Linked DNA regions of Nothobranchius furzeri. The protein of the gene in region 1 purifies or fractionates together with the protein of each later gene. This does not show direct contact. Links are inferred from orthologs where the notes say so. Each region holds a gene or a part of one and is shown on either strand. Other genes may lie near its edges. The genes, in order: rapgef1b and crkl.

What was found.
Region 2: the proteins of rapgef1b (region 1) and crkl purify together in Homo sapiens (affinity purification with western blotting; 16 studies listed by BioGRID and IntAct, with this or other methods). This does not show direct contact. The link is inferred for Nothobranchius furzeri from reciprocal best matches to the Homo sapiens genes RAPGEF1 and CRKL.

The regions. Positions count from the first base shown.
Region 1 is NC_091746.1:61,309,302-61,313,126, reverse strand, and holds part of rapgef1b (rap guanine nucleotide exchange factor 1b), read left to right. Parts: intron 1-2,298; coding exon 2,299-2,383; intron 2,384-2,469; coding exon 2,470-2,564; intron 2,565-2,668; coding exon 2,669-2,747; intron 2,748-2,819; coding exon 2,820-2,921; intron 2,922-3,000; coding exon 3,001-3,098; intron 3,099-3,178; coding exon 3,179-3,307; intron 3,308-3,454; coding exon 3,455-3,605; 3' UTR 3,606-3,825. UniProt on the Homo sapiens protein: Guanine nucleotide-releasing protein that binds to SH3 domain of CRK and GRB2/ASH. Transduces signals from CRK to activate RAS. Involved in cell branching and adhesion mediated by BCAR1-CRK-RAPGEF1 signaling and activation of RAP1.
Region 2 is NC_091746.1:46,868,849-46,872,146, reverse strand, and holds the end of crkl (crk-like protein), read left to right. Parts: intron 1-823; coding exon 824-958; 3' UTR 959-2,715; downstream 2,716-3,298. UniProt on the Homo sapiens protein: May mediate the transduction of intracellular signals.

The DNA.
Region 1 (3,825 bases):
TGCTACCGCACCCTGACTAAGTCCGGCATACAGTGCATTGCAGTAGTCGAGCCTTGAAAGAACAAAAGCATGTGTGACAGTCTCTAAATGTACTCTGGACAGCAGGGGCTTAATTCTGGCTAGGCGGCGTAAGTTAAAAAAACACGATCGCACAACCTGGTTGAGTTGCGCGTCGAATTTAAGGGCTGAGTTCAGTTGCACTCCCAAATTTCAGATGGTGGTCTTCATGTTGGATGCTAAAGGGCCCAGATTCACAGCATCGCATGGGCATGTAGACATGCCAGGGCTAAGTGCAATTACTTCAGTCTTAGCGTCATTCAGATGTAAAAAGTTTGTAGCCATTCAGGAGCGCACATCCTCTAAGGCATCTACAAGCTTTGATATTGACCCATCGACCCCCCGCTGAAGGGGGAGGTAGATCGGACAGTCATCAGCATAAAAATGAAAACGTATGCCGAACCGCCGAAGAAGATTCCCCAACGGTAGTAAGTAGATGGCAAAAAGAAGCGGACCCAGTACAGACCCCTGTGGCACACCCCACTTGAGGCCCGCCCAGGTTGAGGAGGTTTCACCTACACTGACACAAGAATAGGACATAAGAATATCATGTAAAAATATGTTTAAAAATCAATCTCATAGGATTTAAGTGAGAAGCATCCATTTAGGGCCATCTGGTGGACAGATAATGGTTTACATCACTTAGATGGATTTTTTTTTCTTTCTTTTTTCATTCAAAATAAAAACAAATAAAACATATAAACAATAAGAAGTACATAACAAAAAATCAAATTTGAACGAAAAGGAGCAGAATGAAGAAAAACATTTCTGCCCCTTTTCCAGAAAAAATAATCAATTTATATACAATTTCCATTTGTCAGACACACGTACAGATTCATTTTAAACTTTTTCCTGTTCTAAATTCCAGTGCGATCATGATCATTAATTTAATTTACATTTTCATAATTATTTAGTACACTCAATTTGGTACATTTTTTGAATATATTAAATGACAGGGTTTTTTTAAATTTCCCTTTTAAGGTTATTCCATAATTTAACACCTTTTACAGATATATTCCATTCCTTAATTTTAGTTCTAAATCTTGGTTTTGTAAACACATCAGTTTCTTTCAGCATGCAATTACTAGTTCTCTTTTCAAATATCCCCTGAATGTTTGTTGGCAGAATACCTAAATTGGCTTTATACATGGTTTGTAAAATTTTCTAGTCTTTTAAATCATGAAATTTCAGTAATTTATATTTAATAAACAATGGGTTCGATGGATCTCTACAGCCACTATAATTGATGATTCTCGGAGCTCTTTTCTGTAAAATAAATAAGGGTTGTGTATAGTTTTTGTATGTTGCTCCCCAGATTTCTACACAATAAGTCAAGTGTGGAGAAATCAGTGAATTGTACAATGCCAACAAACCAGAATTAGTCAGTAAAAACTTGACTCTATGTAATACTCCTAAGGATTTGGCAATTTTACCTTTTATGTAACTAATATGGGATTTCCATGTCGAGTCTTCATCAATAAGAACTCCAAGAAATTTAGTTTCTTTTACTCTTTGAATTTCAATCTCACCTATTTCCAATAATACATCACTGTTCTTTTTATTATTAAACAGTATAAAATTTGTTTTATTAAGATTCAGTGTCAATCAATTTTTATCAAACCAGTTTTTAATTTTAATCAGTTCATCATTTATCACTTTAGCCACCTCCTCAATATTGATCCCGAAAATGTAAATTAAATCAATGATCATGATCGCACTGCTCCCCGAGTAAAACAGTGTTGTATCATCTGCAAATAGAATGGTACAGAGTGTCTTAGATACATTTACCAAGTCGTTAATAAACAAAATGAACAGTTTGGTCCAAGGACCGACCCTTGTGGCACTCCACAATTATTTTCACATATTTTTGATTTATAGTCCTTTATCTGAACAAACTGTTTCCTTTTTTCTAAATAAGTTTTTACCCATTGATGAGCCAAACCTCTTATTCCATACTGATTTAATTTTCGAAGTAACCTTGAGTGATCAGTGGTGTCAAATGCTTTTTTCATATCAATGAAAACACTAACAGTCATTTTTATTGCCAATTGCTGTTGATATTTTATCCGTTAATTCCATTATTGCCATTGCTGTGGAATGTTAGATGGATTTAAAAATATCTAAAAATCTAAAAATACACAATGAACATTATAAGTAATTTCCTAATCAAACTGAAATCATATTTTGTTCCATATCAAATCCAGAGAGAATACCTGAAGTTGAATGTTTGTGTTTTAACAGACCTGGAACTCTTCATGACTTCCGCAGTCATGAGATCGCTGATCAGCTCACTCTTCTTGATGCTGAGCTGTTCTACAAAATTGAGGTACTGTTTCCCCCTCTTGCCAGCTGATTATTTTAACACCGAGCTCTGCTGAAGCTGAAGTTTCCCTCAACTCTTCTCTCGTTTAGATTCCAGAGGTTCTGCTTTGGGCGAAGGAGCAGAATGAGGAGAAGAGTCCGAACCTGACTCAGTTTACAGAGCACTTTAATAACATGAGCTATTGGTTAGAGCAAAAGTCATGATTAAACGCTTGACTCATCATCCTTTTTTTTTATTACTGGAACTTCAGAAACGCTGATGCCTTACTGCTGTTTCTCTCTCCAACAGGGTCCGATCTTTGATCATTCAGCAGGAAAAAGCCCAAGACAGAGAGAAGCTGCTTCTCAAGTTCATTAAGATAATGAAGGTAGCTTCATTTTTTTAGGAATCACTTATGTCATTTTTATTGCATTTAACAGATTTCTTTACTTTATTGCAGCACTTAAGAAAGTTGAATAATTTTAACTCCTATTTGGCAATACTGTCCGCCCTGGACTCGGCCCCCATCCGGAGATTGGAGTGGCAGAAGCAGACCTCAGAGGTGAGAGGACTTTTTGCTCCGGAGATGTCATTTTTTTCATGCTGGTTACCTTCTCTAACATTTTTTTTATTTTTTTAAGGGACTGGAGGAGTATTGCACGCTGATTGACAGCTCTTCATCCTTCAGAGCATACAGAGCTGCTCTGGCCGAGGTGGAGCCTCCATGCATCCCGTACCTGTGAGTAAATCTGTCTGGACCATTAGAGGTCCACTGCTCAAGTATGACTTGACAATAATTGATTTTGCCTGTCATTGCAGAGGTCTCATTCTGCAGGACCTGACCTTTGTGCACCTGGGAAACCCTGACCTCATTGATGGAAAGGTCAATTTCTCCAAACGCTGGCAGCAGTTCAACATTCTGGACAGTATGCGGCGCTTTCAGCAAGTGTAAGACCTTCAGAAAAACTTTAGTGGAACTTGTGCCAAACTTTGCAAAAACAATCTACTTTATAAACTTTCAATGTAAAAGAAACATCAGTTTTGTCTCTTCTCCATTCTTCAAGCTATTTTTTCTTTGTTTTCGTCATTTTTCAGGCATTATGAGCTGAAACGCAACGAAGACATAATCTCCTTCTTCAACGACTTCAGCGACCACCTAGCCGAAGAGGCCCTGTGGGAGCTCTCGCTCAAAATTAAGCCTCGGAACATCACCAGGCGCAAGACAGACCGTGAGGAGAAGACCTAGGAGCCCGCGCGGGCCTCAGACTCTGACCTCCAACTGTGCTTCATGACACTAACTCTACTTCACTACAAACTTGAGAGAAAGACTAATAGAAGCTATCCACTGAAGCAAACAGGGGACTGGTTGTGGGGAACTCTGAACAAACGACTGAAGCGTCACTGAGGTTTACAAAGAGCCCTACCACTCTGGGAGATTCTAACTGGGATTAATGTTGCTCCATCAC
Region 2 (3,298 bases), about 14 Mb from region 1:
ACTGACAGAGGCGAGGCTGCAGAGCACTGGCGCCACCGGTCCTTCCGACCACCACCAGCAGGCAACGTGGGTTAAGTGTCTTGCCCAAGGACACGACGACAGACTGAGCGGGGCTCGAACCTGCAACCTTCTGATTACGGGGCGAGCACTTAACTCCTTTGCCACCGTCGCCCCACTGAGACATGAAAATTCTTGGTAAATAAAAAACCTGGTCTGAATACTTAGGACCATGTGATATTTCAGTTTTTCATTTTTAATAAATCTGCTTAAATTCTTTAAATTATTTGTTTTTCGGTCAATATGATGTGCTGTTTGTAATTAATGAGGAAAAAATGGCAGAGGATCCCCAAACCCAGGTGTAAGAAACTTGTTGCATCGTTACCAAGAAGACTCATGGCTGTATTAGCTCAACAGGGTGCTTCTACTAAATACTGAGCAAAGGGTCTGAATACATGTGATAGTTCAGTTTGTCTTTTTTAATAAATCTGCTTAAATGTCTAAAATTCTATTTGATTTTAGCAAATGTCTGCAATATAATAAAGAGTGAAAAATTGACGGGGGTCTGAATACTTTCTGTACCACTGTATATACTTTAATAGATAGTTGTTCTAAATGTTTTATTCCTCTGATGGTTCCCTTGCTAACAGCCTAGCAAACAAAACCTCTGTTGCTGGTGCTATTTGAAACGCAGTAACTCCTTTTTCTAGGTAACAACAGTTTGAAAATGTGTTTATTCCCGTCCCACTGAGATATCTTTGCTCCCCTTAAGCTTAGTTATATTTCTGTGTAAAATATTAATGAAATCTGTCTCTCCTTCCCTTAGGTCGGGGATATTGTTAATGTGACACGAATGAACATCAGCGGCCAGTGGGAAGGCGAAGTGAATGGACGAAGGGGTCTCTTCCCTTTCACCCATGTCAAAATTATAGATCCCCTGAATCCTGATGAGAGTGACTGACTCAGGAGTTGAGCTGAAGCCTCTCGACACGTACCTGAAGCAGCTGGCCGTGTCTGCCTCTCCCCAGCGGTGTCGCCATTATGTTCCTGCCTGCTTGGGGGCTGTGCTATGACGGTGACCCCATCTGTTCATGTTGCCAGCTGTGGCAAGGCTTTCTGACCGTTTACAGCTGTGGACACCAGAGCTCTACGAAAACATGAACTATTGTCCCTTAGTTCATTTTATCTTTCTGTCGTATTTACAGAGGGCAGTTTTGTTTTCCAGAACATCACTGGGCATCAGTCGTTTTTGCATGTAAAAGTGTGCGCACGTGCGTGATATGTCTTTTTTTTCTCTCTCTCCCCCTGAACATTTGTCTTGTCAGAAGTCTTGGAGAGTGTGTGTGTGTGTGTGTGTGTGTGTGTGTGTGTGTGTGTGTGTGTGTGTGTGTGTGTGTGTGTGTGTGTGTGTGTGTGTGTGTGTGTGTGTGTGTGTGTGTGTGTGTGTGTGTGTGTGTGTGTGTGTGTGTGTGTGTGTGTGTTGCAAGGGAAAAGGCATTATCTGTGTAACCTTTAGAGCACTGGGCCAACGAGGAGCTGACCAGCCAGTAACCCCCCCCCCCCCCCCCCAAATCAAGACCCTGTTGTACCACACACGTTTGGCTGTGAGTTGATGAGTGACTGATTCATTTCTGTTTTAATTTATTTTTATCCGTAAAATCAAAAAGATTGAGAAGAAAAGGCATTTCTGCAGTTTTTTGCCATAATTTGCCACCATTTTTATGTCCTTGTGTTGATTCCATTGCTATCTTTGTTTGTGCCATCTGATCAAAAAATTGATTTTACTTATCTTGAAAACTTCAATGCCATACAGTACCTCTTTAAAATTAGTTAGACATTTTTTGGAGTTACTGTGACCAAAACCAACTTTGTCCCTCTAAGTGCCAAGCCTCTGCCTGGGTCATTAGTAATATGGTCAGCTTTTCCCTCCAGAAACGACTAAAGTCTAAAATGCTCCTTTTGGTGACGGGCGCCAGGGTAAGCGAGATGTTCAGCAAACCAATGAAATCCCACGAATGCCTTCTGAATAAGACTTCTGCTTTCAGTGCATGAGAGCCCATCTCAGACTGACTATTTTAAATGTTATTAAAAGCTCGGATTGTGCACGTCTTTCTTACTGTGCAACAACCAGCAGGACCTCAAGATTGAACAGAACTAACGTAAAATGTCTCTTCCCTCTCCATCTCTAATTTGTGTGCGTGTGTGTGGTCAGACTTGGCATTTAAATTGTGCTTTTAAAAGTTTTTTTGTGTACGTGTGTCTTTTAAAGTGACTTCCAAAAGGGAAAAATGCCTGCTGGTTGCCCTACGTGCATGATCTCTTGACCGAGGAAACGGTTCACCTGGACGAAAAGCTGCTTTTTGTTATATTTTATTGGATAAAAGTTTTAATTCTAGCTGGTATGCGTGGACATCCGAGTGGGTTTTTCATGTTAAAATTAATAAATTCTAATCGAGCAATACACGCTGATAGTTTCCTTACCTGAGGTGAACTTGCTTTTCTCTCGCTACCCAGTTATTTCATAAAGACATTAACAGTATTACGTGCTCTCGCCTCGTATTCTAGGAAAGCCTGTCCTTTACTTAAGAACTGAAAATTGTGCCTTTTTATTTTCTTATGCCATTTACATGTGTTAATATTTCCCATGGTTAACACCTGTGCTGGTATTGACCCTTTATGTACAGAACAATTAAATAAAAAGTATGTCTACTTCTTTAACCTGTGTGTTTCTGCTCTTGCCTATTAGCTTGTTTGTGCTGCACAGATGGGTGTCTGCAGCCATCCTCTGTTGTGTTTCTGGAGTGCAGGATGGTTGTATTTGCTCTCATTTTTGACAGTTCCAGTTTAGAGTGCCTGGGCCCAGGAGAAAGGAAGCAATTAATGAATTTTAATGAAGTGCTAAGAAAAGAACATCAGCTGACCCAGAGATGAAGAATGGCAAGTTTTTCAAGGGCAGAGTTTCAGTTGTTTGTCCGGGACAGATGTTAGCGATGTGCTGTAGGTTCTAGAAGTTTGTTACAAAAACCTCGCTAGTACGGAGTTGGACCCACTTTGTCTTCTGAACTGCCCTAATTTCTCACGATGTAGACTAAAGGAGAGATTCTAGACGCAGAGATTCTGGTCCTTGCTGCATCATTACACCGACAGCAGCATTATGCTTTGATGAGGCAGGATGGATTCATGCTTTTTAAACTAAATTCTGCAGCAACCATCTTGAAGTTGCAGCTGAAATGATACTCATTAGACCAGGAAATGTTTTTCCAGTGTTCAGTGGTCGGGTTTCGATGAACCTTTGTGAATC